Stegostoma tigrinum: one gene and its partner. The protein of the gene in region 1 binds, or shares a complex with, the protein of each later gene. Links are inferred from orthologs where the notes say so. Each region holds a gene or a part of one and is shown on either strand. Other genes may lie near its edges.

Region 1 (7,872 bases):
TGTTGGTGAGGCGACACCCTGAAGTACTGTCTTGGTCCTCGTATTTCAGAAAGGATATACTGGTATTGAAAGCAGCTCAAAAAAGATTCACATGGCTGATTCCTGGGATGAAGGGATTGACTTTTCAAAAATGGCTGAAATGGTTAGGCCATTATTTATTACGGTTTAGAAGCAGGAGGGATAATCTTATTGAAGTGTACAAAATTCCGAGCATCTTGACTGGGTAGATATTGAAAATACAATTCCACTACTGGGAGAATCTTAAACTTGGCAACATAGTTACATAAAAAGGGGATACTTATTTAAAACTATGATGTGAAGGGATTTATTCTCTCAGAGGATAGTGAACGGCTGGAATTCTCTACCACAGAGTTGTAGAGGTTAGATCAAAGAAAATGTTTAAACAGAGAACAGATAGATTTTTGAACTATTAGGAATTGAGGGCTACAAGCAGATGCCACAAAAGAGGAGTTGAGGCCCGCACAGATCAGCCATAATCTTACTGAATGGCAAGGCAGGCGTGAGGGGCCAAATGTCTACTCCTGCTTCTACTTCTTATGATTTTATGCCTTTCAGAGAGATTCCTCCAGTTGCTTCGTATTTTCCCTAGCTTTTCATTTGCTCGTATGTTATTAAATCTCAAGCTTCTTCCAGATCTGCTGCAAGGTGACCGACATTAGATATTAATTCTGTTTATATCCCTGCAGAATATACTTGACTTGTTGGGTTTTTCCAGCAAGTTCTACTTATATTTTGTAGCACATTGCCTTGAAGGTGCAGAATGGCACAGAAAATGGCAGTGTGACAGGGCAAAGTAAGCTCTGAAATAGGTGCATGTCTGTTAATCTCACTGATTTAGATTGTAATAATTCATGAATCGTCTTTGTACATTAAAATAAAGATTAAAGGAAATTCTGATCCATCAATTTGAGCTGCAATTATTTGCACTAGGTAGCTTTTTATCCTCAGTTGTATTAGTGCACCTAATCACTATAAAACACATATATTAGTTCTGTAGGTTTCAATGAAAACTACTTTTCTAAGGCCTTATTAATGGACATTCTTTACATATACATACAGTAGATAGATGATATTAATTCTTCCAAACATGGCTGTTGTACTGAGGGTGAACAGTTTCATAATCTGCTGTGCATCTTGAGATTCTGACCGTCTGACATTTATTACTAGACTTCCTCCACCTGAAGCATATATTGTTGTCATTGTTGTTCTGGAAGAGAATGTACAGATAAGGAACTGAAATTACAGCATGGCATGAGGTTTTGAAGATACTTACTCAAGGTCATAACAAGCATAATTAGAAAAAACAATATTTTCAGTCGCAGATATTCAACAGCATAAATTGAAAGAATATGATAATCTTGTATAAAAATCACCAGGCCAAATTTTGAGCTCCAATAACCACTATAGATTTAAGGAGCTAAATAAATGACTAGGTATTGCAATTTAAAATTAAAATACAATGCAACTAAATGATATTACTGTATCATTAGAGGCCGAGATAATAGATAAGGTTACAAAAAGCACCTTACAAATTTTGACTCCTATCCTGCTGGACATCCTGTGAACTATATTTTGACTCTTTAAAAAGTCATTAATGAAATGAAGTTAACAAGATATCCATGATCAATATAAATTGTCAAAGTTACTTAGGTTATTTTTATTTATTCTCAGAATATGATTGTCACCAGGAATTTTTGGGCATTCCTAGTTATCTTGTGATCACTGAGGGCCTTCTCTTTGAGACACTTCAATCCTTGAGATGATGATATTTCACCATGGAATTAGGTACTTTCTAGGATGTTGCCCAATCAATGAGGAAAAACAATGATAACATGGATTTTCTTCACAACATAAGTTACACCACCACATCTCACAGATTTTGTCCCAAAGTCAAACTGTATCCAGCCATAAATTTGGAAAAAATATTGGAGGAAAAATATTAATGCATAAAGAAAATTACATATTGCACATAATAATTCTACTGGCTATAAATATCATTTCTTCAAGTTTGTTGGTAAACAACTTCAAATGATACAGAATAAAAACTGAAGCTATCCCCAGGTCAGGCTCATCTGTGGAGACACAAGAACAGTTATTCATTTCCAGAAGGAATAAACAGTAAAAGCTGCAAAATGACACACCGTGGTCAGACTTGTCTTGTGTATTTCAAAATGAACATTCAGTAGGACCAGTGATAATGGGAACTGCAGATGCTGGAGAATTTCAGTGGGGGGAGGGGAAGAACTGGGCTGGTTTTGGGATGCAGTGGGGGAAGGGGGAGATTTTGAAGCTTGTGAAGTTCACATTGATACCATTAGGCTGCAGGGTTCTGCTGTTCTTGCAACCTTCCGGTGGCATCATTGTGCCACTGCAGGAGGCCCATGATGGACATGTCGTCTGAGGAATGGGAGGGGGAGTTAAAATGGTTCACGACTGGGAGGTGCAGTTGTTCGTTGCGAACCGAACGGAGGTGTTCGCTGCACCTCCCAGTCGTGAACCATTTTAACTACCCCTCCCATTCCTCAGACGACATGTCCATCATGGACCTCCTGCAGTGCCACAAAGATGCTATCTGAAGGTTGCAAGTACAGCAAAACCCGGCAGCCCAATGGTATCAATGTGGACTTCACAAGCTTCAAAATCTCCCCTTCCCCCACTGCATCACAAAACCAGCCCAGCTCGACCCCTTCCCCCACTGCATCCCAAAACCAGCCCAGCCTGTCTCTGCTTCCCTAACCTGTTCTTCCTCTCACCTATCCCTTCCTCCCACCTCAAGCCGCACCTCCATTTCCAACCTACTAACCTCATCCCACCTCCTTGATCTGTCCGTCTTCCCTGGACTGACCTATCCCCTCCCTAACTCCTCATCTATACTCTCCTCTCTACCTATCTTCTCTTCTCTCCATCTTAGGTCCGCCTCCCCCTCTCTCCCTATTTATTCCAGTTCCCTCTCCCCATCCCCCTCTCTGATGAAGGGTCTAGGCCCGAAACGTCAGCTTTTGTGCTCCTGAGATGCTGCTTGGTCTGCTGTGTTCATCCAGCTCCACACTTTGTTATTCAGTAGGACCAGTACTTCCATTTCTGAGTGTTATCACTTTCTCTCACCACGGGTTAGAATATATTTCACAGGATCTGTAACATGTCTGACAAAATTCAGATTCTCTTCTCATATTTGTCTTACTCTATCCATCCTGGTGTAGTTAGAAAGCACTTCTACACACAAAAGTTAGTGGAGGTTTAGACTCTCTTCCACAAACAGCAGTTAAAATTCCTGTAGCACAGAAAGAAACCACTCAGCCTAAGTCTGGACAGACCCTCCAAACAGCATCCCATCCAGACCAATCACCCAAGCTATCTCTATAACCCAACATTCGCCATGACTAATCCATCTAGCCTGCACATCCATGGGCATTATGAGGCAATTTAGCATGGCCAATCCACCTAACTTACATAACTTTGAACTGTGGTGGGAAATCACAGACACAGGGAGAACATGCAAACTCATGGCTGGAATCAAAACAAAGTCCCTAGCCCAATGAGGTAGCATAGTTAACCAGCGGGCCACTGTGCCCTAAGTTCATTCTTTCATATGAATAAAGACATTAATTTAGCCAAGAAGGTCAGGCAAAGCCTGTGGAGATAAAATTTCAATTCAGTTAACGTGAGTCAAAACTGGTCACTAGAATTTCTGAAACATCAACTCTTCTCTTCATAAATGCTGCTAGATCTTGTTTCTCCTGCAATGTTTTTGTTATTGTATCAGATGTCCAGCACCTGCAACTCTTTGTTTTACCACTGAGTTTGACCAAGTCTAAGTTCAGTTTTATAATAAATCAAAGAACTGAGAATGATGGAAATCTGAAACAAAAGCAGAAATTGCTGGAGGATCTCAACAGGTCTGACAGCATTTGTGGAGAGAGAAACAGAGTTAATAATTCAAGTCCAGAGACCCTTTTTCAGACCCTCGTGAAAAAGTCGCTGGTCTCTACACGGCAGCTAACAGACCTACTGAGTTTCTCCAGCAATTTCTGTTTTTGTTTTTGCATCAGATCTTCGCAATTCGCAATAATTTGATTTATTAATGAATTTAGGCAAGTCTGGGCACACCTTTATAATCTCTGTCTACACCGAATATTAAGTTTTACCCTATCCCAGACTTAAAAAGCCCGTCACCCAATTTTTTTTTGATTAAAAAAAGAAACAAAACCTCAGCCTCCGCCGCAGCCTTCGCGCCCAAGAAGCCACAAAATGTCTTAGCAACGCGGTGTACCGGTGCCATGGCAACTGCCGTTGCTAGCACGTGGTGCGCTGCCGGGTCGGAGGTTACGTCGCGGGGTACCCGGATGTTTCTCGGGATGTTACCGGAGTGGTAGTGACGGCGGCAGGGTCTTGTTTTATTTTTTTGATCCCGAATTAGCAAAAGAACGATTAAGGGGGGGGGCTGAAATTACGACCCGAAAATGGCTTCAACCGCGGCTGGAAAACAGCGAATCCCCAAAGTGGCCAAGGTAACCAGCACTTTGCTAGGACTGTGTCGGGCCCTGTCAGGCTTTGCAGGAATTGACCAACACCGACGTTTATTCTCGACCGACAACAGCAGCAATCAATCTGTATGTCCTTGCGGTTAAAGTCAGGATGTTTAAAGTCTGGCGCAAGGACTGAGCGGTTCCTGTACTCCTCCGAACACATTTACATGCAATTTTCAACTCATGACAACCCCCGCCCCCCCGTTTGTTTCCTTTTAGAGGAAGGGCTTACATTTCCGTACCGCCTTAAGGGGATATCAAGACCATTTTAAAGTATAGTAAGTGAGGTTACAGTGAGTTAAACCTTGTTACAGTTGGAACCAAAGACACACCATATGCAAGTTTAAACGATCAACTAGCCTTAAAGTTTCTGCTTAATGCGCCTACTAGTCCAGAAAAGTTACTTGAATGTTTTGGGGCACTTCAAATGTCTCCAAAATAAATTACCCATTGTATACGTTTGTTTATATTTTGAACTTCTGTAATCATCCAATCGTAATTTTCACAAACAGAAATTGCTGGAAAAGCTCAGCGGGTCTGGCAGCTTCTGTGAAGAGAACTCGGAGTTAAGAATCATAGAATCCCTACAGTGTGGAAACAGACCCAACAAGTCCTCGTCTGTTGACAGAGCATCCCACCCATCCCCTTATAACCCACCTAATGTACACATCCCTGAACACTGCAGGCAATTTAGCATGGCCAATCCACCTAGCCTGCACATCTTTGGACTGTGGGAGGAAACCCATGCAGATACTGGGAGAATATGCAGACTTCGCACAGACAGTCACCCGAGGCTGGAATCGAACCCAGGTCCCTGGCTCTGTGAGGCAGCAGTCCTAGCCACTGTGCTACCCCGCTAACGTTTCAAGTCCAGTGACTCTTCCTCAGAACATGCAGGCTGGGAACCAATGTTTTCTATGCAGAAGATAAGGTGGAGGGAGGGGTGGTTAAGGAATAAATGTTATGTGGGTTACCACCCAGGGAGAGAGAACAGTTGGGCAGACAAAGGAGTGGGTAACGATCAGGCTAGGAGGGTGAACAGATGTTAATGGAGACTGTTAGTATGCCAATACACACTACCTACTGTTAGCCATTGTGTGTGGGTTTGGGGGCTAGGACATAGGAGAGTTTAGGCCCTAAAATAATTGAACTCAATATTGAGTCCGGAGGGCTGCAGGGTCCCCAAGTGGAAAATGAGCTGTTGTTCTTCCGGTTTGCTCTGAGCTTCATTAGAACACTGCCGCAAACCTGAGACAGATGTTAGAACATAGAAAAGTACAGCACAGTACAGGCCCTTCGGTCCACGATGTTATGCCGTGGAATAATCCTAATCCAAAAATAAAATAACCTAACCTACGTTCCCCTCAATTCACTGCTGGCCATGTGCATGTCCAGCAGTTGCTTAAATGTCACTAATGACTCTGCTTCCACGACTACCACTGGTAAACTATTCCATGCGCTCACAACTCTCTGAGTGAAGAACCTCCCTCTGACGTCTCCTCTATACCTTCCGCCTAACACCTCAAAACTATGACCCCTTGTGGCAGTCAATCCTGCCCTTGGGAAAAGTCTCTGGCTATCGACTCTATCCATGCCTCTCATTACCTTGTACACCTTGATCAGGTCACCTCTCTTCCTCCTTCTCTCCAGAGAGAAAAGTCTGAGCTCAGTCAACCTCTCCTCGTAAGAAAAGCCCTCTAGTCCAGGCAGCATCCTGGTAAACCTCCTTTGCACCCTCTCCAAAGCCTCCACATCTTTCCTAAAATAGGGCGACCAGAACTGGACACAGTATTCCAAGTGTGGTCTCACTAGGGTTTTGTAGACCTGCAGCATAACCTCGCGGCTCTTAAACTCAATCCCCCTGTTAATGAAAGCCAAATCACCATATGCTTTCTTAACAACCTTATCCACCTGGGTGGCAACTTTGAGGGAGCTATGCACTTGAACACCAAGATCCTGCTGTTCCTCCACACTGCCGAGAATCCTGCCTTTAATCCTATGTTCAGCATTTAAGTTCGACCTTCCAAAATGCATCACTTCGCATTTATCCAGGTTGAACTCCATCTGCCATTTCTCAGCCCAGCTCTGCATTCTGTCAATGTCTTGCTGAAGCCTGCAATAGCCCTCGATACTATCAATGGCACCTCCAACCTTTGTGTCATCAGCAAACATACTAACCCACCCCTCAACCTCCTCATCCAAGTCATTTATAAAAACTACAAAGAGCAGAAGCCCAAGAACAGAATCCTGCGGGACACCACTCAGCACTGACCTCCAGGCAGAATACTTACCATCTACAACCACTCTCTGCCTCCTGTCAGCCAACCAATTCTGAATCCAGACAGCCAAATCACCCTGTATCCCATACCTCCTGACTTTATGAATGAGCCTGGGGAACCTTATCAAATGCCTTGCTGAAGTCCATAAACCAGGAACAAGGTGATGGCAAGCAACTGGAAACTCAGGGTCTTTTTTGCGAGCAGACTGTATGTATTCTGTGAAGTAGTCACCCAGTCTATGCTTCGTTTCACCAATGTAGAGGAGACCACGTTAGCGGCAAATGCTGTAGACTAGATTATGAGAGGTGCAGGCAATGTGCTGCTTCACCTGGAAGATATGTTTGGGCCCCTGAATACTGACGAAAGAGGAGGCGAATGGGCAGGTGTTATACCTTCGGTTGCAGAGGAAGGTGCCATAGGGTTATGAGGGTATGATGGGAGTGAAGAAGAGTGGACCAGGGTATCCCAGAGAGAACAATCCCTGTGGTAAGCGGCCAAGGGCAGGAAATACATGTCTGGCGGTGGCATCTTGCTGGAGGTGGCGGAAATGTCAACTAATTATCTTCTGGATGGTACATTTAAAAACAAGGGGAACCCTACTGCTGTTCTGCAAGGCAAGAGTGGGTGAGTGCAGAAGTGTGGGAGATGGATCGGACGCGGTTGAGGGCCCTGTCAACGACAGTAGCCCCCAATCCCACATACCAAGCCTTATCACGTAGTCTGCCATTATATATTACCTATTGTTAGCCACTAATAGTCTCCATTAACAGCCCAGAGAGAGAGAACAGTTCACCCTCCTAGCCAGTTCATTAACCACTCCTTTGTTCAACTGTTCTTCTCTCTCTTTTGGCTCTATCCTCACCTATTGTTTACTCTTTACTCTCTTCCCCCCCCACCCCCCATCTTCTGCCTATAAACTGAAATTTTTCCAACTACCATCAGTTCTTAGGAAGGGTCATCTGATTTACAGCATCTGGAGTTTTCTCGGTTTTATTTATAACTTATTTCACTATCTGAGCATTTAAGTTTAAGGATAATAAGTGTCT
Region 2 (8,285 bases), on another chromosome or scaffold:
AAAACCATTAGAAAGTGTTAACTCCCAAAATATGCTTCGATTGTTTTGGGTGAAATATGTCCCTTGAAGAAATATTTCAATCATTCCTTTGGGGAAATTGGTGACTCATCTAAACAGGACATAACAAAGCTCATCCATGCCAAGAAACATCTAAGTCAATTCAAGCATGATACAGGAGCAAGTATCACCGTGATATCTGACAAAACTCCTTGGTTGAAAAATATAAAATTATAACTTACTGATTTGATGTTATGTTGACTACATAGAATAACACCTAAGTCTACAGCAGTGTTCAAAGTTTCTTTAAGGCATAAAGATCATCAGTTTGTAGAACTTATATATGTATAACAATCAATAACCATCACTTTTAAAAATTGCAAGTATGCTTTGCTGTAAAATATTGACATTTATCAGGCAGAGAAAAAACTTTACTGGCCTCATTAGAATGTTCACATTCTAACCCATGCAGAAGCATATACCTATGACCTTTAAGATTTCCAATGAAAAAATCTTCACAAACTTTTAATGCCCACAAGAGGAGCTCGAACAGTTCATCCATTTCACCAACACCTTCCACCCCAACCTTCAGTTCACCTGGACCATCTCCAACACATCCCTTACCTTCCTGGACCTTTCTGTCTGCTTTCCAGAGAGACCACTGGCTCCGTGACTCCCTTTTTGGCTCCACACTCCCCGCCAACCCTACCACACCCGGTACCTTCCCCTGCAACCGCAAGAAGTGCTACACCTGACCCCACACCCAGGCCCCAAGATGACTTTCCACATCAAGCAGATGTTCACCTGCACATCCGCCAATGTGGTATACTGCATCCACTGCACCCGGTGTAGCTTCCTCTACATTGGGGAAACCAAGAGGAGGCTTGGGGACCGCTTTGCAGAACACCCAGACTCCGTTCGCAGTAAACAACTGCACCTCCCAGTCGTGAACCATTTCAACTCCCACTCCCATTCATTAGACGACATGTCCATCCTGGGCCTCCTGCAGTGCCATAATGATGCCACCCGTAGGTTGCAGGAACAGCAACTCATATTCTGTTTGGGAACTCTGCAGCCTAATGGTATCAATGTGGATTTCACCAGCTTCAAAATCTCCCCTTCCCCCGCTGCATCCCAAAACCAGCCCAGCTCGTCCCTGCCCCCCTAACCTGTTCTTCCTCTCACCTATCCCCTCCTCCCACCTCAAGCCGCACCTCCATTTCCTACCTACTAACCTCATCCCGCCCCCTTGACCTGTCCATCCTCCCCGGGCTGACCTATCCCCTCCATACCACCCAACCCACACTCTCCTCTCCACCTATCTTTTCCTCTATCCATCTTCAGTCCGCCTCCCCCTCTCTCCCTATTTATTTCAGAATCCTCTCCCCTTCCCCTCTCTGATGAAGGGTCTAGGCCCGAAACGTCAGCTTTTGTGCTCCTGAGATGCTGCTTGGCCTGCTGTGTTCATCCAGCTCCACAGTTTGTTATCTTGGATTCTCCAGCATCTGCAGTTCCCATTATCACAAAGTTTTAAGAGCTGGTTTCTTATCCTCCACAAACAAGAGAATACTCAGGTTCTAAATTCATCAACAACAAAGAAATCTCGGCAACCAAAAGGCAATATGATAGGCTGGGAGACATTCAACCAGATTTACCTTGTAACAAGTTTGAAAGGATAAGACTACTTTTCATACTTAAGTTCTATCAGACATTTTGAAGAAATCAAAGAAACTCTGGGCATCATAGTGGTTCAGTGTCAATATTCATATGCCTTCACAGCAAAATATAACACCCACTAGCCTTTCTAGATATTAACTTTCAACATTCTTTGTGAAGAAGAAAATCACCTATTTCTTCAAGTTGGCATAAACTTGTAAAGTCAGAGACTTGATGGGAGAAGAAATAGTAGTAAACTTGATGTGCTTATTTAAACAATAATATACCGGGTTTAATAAGGAGGGAAAAACTGGGAGGGAGATATCATATATGATTATTGGCATGAAAAGTTTAACCTTCAAAAATTTGTATCGCTCCACCCACCAGGATCTCAGTAATTGTCTCTGTGAAGAGCAAGTCAGTTCTTGTTGAAGAGGCAGGGACGAGCCGGGCTGGTTTTGGGATGCATTGGGGGAAGGGGAGATTTTGAAGCTGTTGAAATCCACATTGATACCATTAGGCTGCAGAGTTCCCAAACGGCATATGAATTGCTGTTCCTCTTAGGAGATATCTATGTCTCTTACCACATCTAATTTGATTAACCAGCCGCTGCTGTAATAAAGGATGTATTTCATCATCTAAAAATGTTGTTCTAATGGAAGTATATTTTGAGAGTCAATATTTTCTTATAGTTTTGGGTATAAGATAAAAGTTTTTTCCAGAAAGAACCGGCACTGTTCTCTCAGTATGTAATAAACTATTTCTTGTCATTCTTGTCTGCCAAAGATTTATTGGTGGTTAACCCTTAACCATTTAATATTATTGAGTCCTGTGGTCTAGTATTACAAGCAGGGTTATATCTACCCAAAGACATTCTTAGCAGAACTAGGTCCCAGTTGAGGGCAGCCCTTACAAGAGGAAAGGGAAGGAAAGATTTACTTGTTGGTGGTGTTACGTGGGAGGTGGAGAAATTAGCAGTGGTAGAAACATAGGAAAAGGAGTAGCTTATTAAAGCTCTTGGTCAGAGGGCAAGTGGGAAAATAGAAGTGTTGACACCTCCTGTTAACCACAGTTACAGTGGGTGGGGATGAGGGGAGAGAGGAGATGGTTGGAGTGAAGAAGAAATAGAAAGACATATCAGAACCTGAAAGCTTTCCATCTTGTTAATTTCGCAACCTTCTCATTATCCTCATGGTTTTATCTCATTGACATCAGGGAATTTTAGATAACAAGAGACAACATTGTGCTGGGTGTTATAACCAGAAGGCATATTTAAATCTTCAATCACTTTACTAACAAGAGAGGTAGGTGATTGCTGAGCTGTTGGTGAATGCCTATTTTTTATTTAATCAGTCAGCTCAATATCTGATTTAAAAAAAACAGACTTAACAGGGTGGCTCAGACCTGTGGAGTGTCCACAATTCTTGAATCCAAGATAACCAGATGTGCAAGACTGAATTCAGTGGCAGCAGCAGCTGAAACTGCATGTTTTCAAGTGTGAACAGCAGCAGGTATTACTGCAGGATTGAGGGGTTTATGTGTAGTACATTTATAGATGTGGTCACTCTGCAATCTTAAGGTATGCAAGCAGAGAAGGAATGGATAACTGTCAGATAGTGAAGATTATCCAAGGAGGCAGTTCAATTTGGGCAAACTCTCTCTATTTTGAATGTTATATGAATGATGGTTCCTTTGGTGTGTCCAGCCAGCTTCTAGTCCTTGCTACCAAGCTTACTCAACACGACAGGAGAAGCAGGAAGAATATTGGAAAAGCATTAGACATCAGGGATTCAATAGCTATTGGAACATACAGAATTTTTTTCTGGCTGCAGACAAGAGTGCAAGATAAATTGCCTCTTCAGCACCAAGATCAAGGGTATCACTAAATGGCTACAAAACACTCTGAACGTGCTGGACAAATAGCCAGCTCTTATGGCTACTATCAGTATTAAGGATGTAAGTAAGAAAGAAGGATGATGTCCTCCAGAATGGATTAGGGATCTTAGAAAGAAGCCAGCTAGCAGGAGCTCAATGGTAGTAATTTGCAAATTATTCCCAGTAACATAAACTATTGTTTAGGAGTTTACGGGTTATGGTTGCCTGAAGCGTGCTTGCTGGGATGGTTCAGGAAGAAGGGCTTTGGATATCTGACACTTTGGGACTGGTTCTTGCGAGGTGTGACCTGTGCACCTTAACAGAGTCAGGACCAATGTCCTTACAGGCCTATTTGCTACTGCTGCTGCTGGGGACGATTTAAACCATTTGGGCAGAGGTGTGGGAACCAGGAGGTGACATAAAAGAGGAAGATCAAAATATATAGAGGATTAGGAGAGACAAATAGCATTAGAGTGAAAAATGGTGTTAGTTTGGGTGTGGGTGAGAGAAAATGTGCTAATGTCTAAACTATATTTACTTTTAAGAATGTATTAGAACATGCTAAATAAGACAGGTGAGCTCCAGTTGCAGGTAGCCACATGGAAATATGATGTTTTAGTGATAACAAGAGGTCTGGCATAATAAAAGGCAGAGTGTGGTATTAATAATCCCCAATACGAGGCATTCAGGAAAAAGAGGGAAGGAAAGATAGATCGAGGAATAGTTGTACTGATTAAGGAGAACATCGTAGTGTCAAAAGAGGGAGAGGATCTCCTAAAGTGTTCAGGACAGAAACTATTTTGTTAGCGCTAACAAACAATAGTAATACCAAATAAAAACTGGAAGAACTGCGGATGCTGTAAATCAGAAACAAAAACAAATTTGCTGGAAAAGCTCAGCAGGTTTGACAACATCTGTGAAGGGAAAAACAGAGTTAACATTTCAAGTCCGGTGACCCTTCCTCAGAACGCTGCCAGACTTGCTGAGCTTTTCCAGCAGCTTTTGTTTTAGTACCACTACATTGTTGGATGTATTCTATCAGACACTAAAGTGAAAAATATAGAGAACAAATTTGCATCAAAATTACAGAGATGTAGAACAATGAAGCAAGAGGACTAGAGAATTGCAAAAGTTATTGTTCAAGAAACAGTACAAGAATTGCAACTACAGGAATGTCTCTTTAAATATTTTAATCAGCCTGTTCAGAAATATCATGACACACCTCTGTTTACTACGTGCAACTTAAAACATTGAGCTCCTGGCCCCAGTAGGGGCACGAGCACCACACCGCAAGAGCTCAATCCAGTCATTTTAATCTTGGTGATGACAAAACTTTCAGACATGACAAGGTTACGGCTCACTGGGACAACTGAAAGTTAATTAAGGAAAACCAGCTTGGATGTGTTAAAAATGTCTGTTTCTTTCACTATCCCCAATGACAGACAACCTCATCCTCGCATGTACTGGGATTAAAATTCTCCGAAGGTTGATGACCTTTTGTCAGAACAAATGACAATTATGCATTTCCAATACAGTGGATTAATCAGATTTTATAATTTGCATTTATCTGCATTTGTTCAAGTAGCCAAATTGCGTATTGTTTTCCGACATTGAGAATTCAAGCGAAATCTCGATCACAGCGTGTGATTGGTGGCGTGCGTCAGTAGGTGGTGGTGTGTGCGGAGTTCTCCACTTTCCTGTTGCGGTCCTTCTTGCTCCTCTCCTTCCGCCCTTATCCGGGATGAGGAGCTGCTGTGGTAAAATTTGGGACTTTACTGCGAAATGAAGTGAGTAGGCGATTAAATTGATGTAGTTGCTGGTTTAACAAACAGCATCACTAAAGGGAGGAAATTACCTGTCCGGTATGGACAGGTAAGAGGTTTCTCTGAGTTACTTCAAGGTGGTAAAGGATCAGTGGCAGGATTTTTTATTTAAAATGTCCACCGTTCCTGAAAGAAAGGAACCTGCTTTCAGCACCAACTCTTAGTTCTTGGGAATTATTTAAGTAAAACACTAAAGACGGTTAATGACAGTGGTTTGATCGGAATAAAATGTGGCCAGAAGTATCTGAGTTGTTTGCCAACTGAAGTTTCAACGTGAAACGAATCAGTCGTTAATAAAACCGTGGAAAGGTTAATAACTTGGCATGACCATAAATGTGAATGAAATGGTAGCTGCTGCTTTGTCAGTCACTGTATTTTTGTCCTTTGCATCACCCCGTGCCTTGACATTTTTCTTTCAACAATCTCCCAAAAGCCTTTCTGTCTCCTTATGTTTCCAGTTTCCCTTCCCATTCCCATTATCATTTCCTGTAGCCTGTGAAGCAGTTTCATGGATTTTCACAGTATTTGAGGAGCATAATAAAAATGCGGGTTATTGAACTAGGATTCAGCTCGTCTGGCCAGCAAAACAACACTCTGCACTGATTTAGAGGGCCTTTGGAACATTTTCAAGATGAATTACTGAGCTTGGGAGAAGTGGTGAACAAAATAAAAGAGACAACCGTAAACCCAGTGGTGAAAACCGTGAGCTTCTTCAAACTAGGCATTTGTGGAAGGGAAGTGACTGTAAACTAAAATGAAAGCAAATGTGTAGAAATTCAAAATAGCTCTAGAAAATGCTGGAAACAGTTCTGTCCTACCATTTAATATGCGAGTGAAAAGTAGCCTCAACTCTGTTCAAGACTTCTTTTATTTTGAAACGAATACAGTTTGCACCCAAATCAGATGATCTTGCCTCTCATTAGATCAACTGGACAAAGTCTATTGCAAATGACACTTATGTAAGTGCATGTAGTCTGGGAAAGACTGAGTAGTCATCTGCACTCAACCCAACAATGTTACAAATACCAGCTTGGCCAAATATCCACTTGAGGATAATATATTTAAGTTATTTAATTTAATTTAATTTAATTTAATTTATTGCTGGAAAAACTCAGCAAGTTTGGCAGCATCTGTGGAGAGAAGAATTTCAGTTCTGAGGAAGTGTCACTGGCCCCAAAACATTAACTTTGATTTCTCTCCACAGATTCTGCCAGATGTGCTGAGTTTATCCAGCAGTTTCTGTTTCTGATTTTGATTTCCAGCATCTGCAGTTTTTTTTCATTTTTTTTATTATTGTTTGCAGAATCAGAATGTAAGCTATGGAAATTTCCTCTGATAGAATATGTTGTTTTCTTTTCAATACATGTAAAATGCTTTTCTTATTAATTCATGGGATGAGGGAATCGCTGGCAAGGTCAGCATTTACTACCAAGCATCAGTTGCCCTGTAGAAAATGGCAGTGAACCTTCAACTACTGTGCTCCTTGGTGTTTCCTCTGGCCCATCCTTGTGCTGATGAGATATCTATTCGGGATTTTGACCAATGACAATGAATAGCTCATATCCAAATCAGAATTTTGTGTGTTTTGAAAGAGAACTTGTGGGTGGTAGTGTTCCCATGCATTTTCTGCCCTTTTTCTTCTAGATTATAGAAATCAAGGGTTTGGAAGGTAGAGTCTAAGCAGTTTGGCAAGTTGTTGCAAATGCAAATTGTAAATGGTACGCATTGCTGTAATTATATGTCGCTGGTAAAAGCAGTGAATGTTGAAGGTGTTAGATGCGGTCGCAGTCAAACAGGCAGTATTTGGACAGAGGCTGCTTTAGTATTGGAGGAGTTGCAAATGGTGCAGAAATTGTGCAGTCATCAGTGAAGGATCTCACTTCTGACATTTACAATGGAGAGAATGTTGTTGAAGATGGTCGGGTCTGGGACACTACCCTGAGTAACTCCCGTGTCTCAGTTGATTGACTCCAACAACACAACCACCTTCCTGTGTGCTAAACAGCAGGGAGTTACCCTCTCCCCCTCCAATTCTGATGAACTCCAGTTTACTGTGGCTCCTTAATGCCATACACAGTCAAATGCTGCTTTGATATAGAGGTAATCACCCTTACTGCCCCTCTGGAGTTCAGCTGTTTTGACTTAATTTATAATGAGGTCAGGAACAGAGTGGTCTGTTAGAACCCAAGCTGAGAGTCTAGTAAACAAATTGTTGTTGAGTAAGTACTGCTTGAAATCACAGGTGGTGATGGTGCTTTCTGTATTTTCGTTAGAGGATAGACTGATGGGATGGAATTGTTGAGTGGGATCTGTCCTGCTTATTGTGGATAGGATGTAATCAGGAAATTATACATATTGCTGGATAGATCCCAATGTTGTAGCTGCAGTGTACGAGCTTAGCTAGGGTTGCTGCTAGTTCTGAAGCGTAAGTCATCAGTGGTATTGCTCGAATGTTGTCCAGACCGATTACCTTTGCAGAGTCCAGTGACCAGTTTTTATTTGCCATTATGTGGAATAAATTGAACTGGATGTAGCTGGAACCTGTGATGCTGGGGACCTCAGGAAGAAGCTAAGATAGAGCATCCACTAGACACTTTTGGCTGAAACTGTAGGAAAATGCTTAAGCCTTCACATTGACCTGCTGGGTTCCCAATCATTGAGATAGAGATCTTTGTGGAGCCGCCGCCTCCAGTGAATTGTTACATAGTCCACCACCATTCACAACTGGATGCAGCGGACTGTAGAGCTTAGATCTTAAGATGGATGCCTTTGTCATTGTTCCACAGTCTAGTTAAACAACTGCCTGATTCTCAGTTTGAGCTCCAACAGGATTACTCAGCTGCTGACCTCAAAAGTGTTCTGAGATAGGGTCACCAAACCCAAAACGTTAACTCTGATTTTTTTCTTCACAAATGCTGTCAGACCTACTGAGCT

What was found. Proteins that work in one complex are often made in the same cells at the same time.
Region 2: crnkl1 (region 1) and rbmx2 share a complex: the UniProt entries of both Homo sapiens proteins name them as parts of the minor spliceosome. The link is inferred for Stegostoma tigrinum from reciprocal best matches to the Homo sapiens genes CRNKL1 and RBMX2.

Annotation. Positions count from the first base shown.
Region 1 is NC_081362.1:14,517,440-14,525,311, forward strand, and holds the start of crnkl1 (crooked neck-like protein 1), read left to right. Parts: upstream 1-4,359; 5' UTR 4,360-4,481; coding exon 4,482-4,529; intron 4,530-7,872. Other genes in the region: cfap61 (cilia- and flagella-associated protein 61), read right to left, coding at 1,079-1,221. UniProt on the Homo sapiens protein: Involved in pre-mRNA splicing process. As a component of the minor spliceosome, involved in the splicing of U12-type introns in pre-mRNAs.
Region 2 is NC_081368.1:47,498,984-47,507,268, forward strand, and holds the start of rbmx2 (RNA-binding motif protein, X-linked 2), read left to right. Parts: upstream 1-5,110; 5' UTR 5,111-5,310; coding exon 5,311-5,315; intron 5,316-8,285. UniProt on the Homo sapiens protein: Involved in pre-mRNA splicing as component of the activated spliceosome. As a component of the minor spliceosome, involved in the splicing of U12-type introns in pre-mRNAs.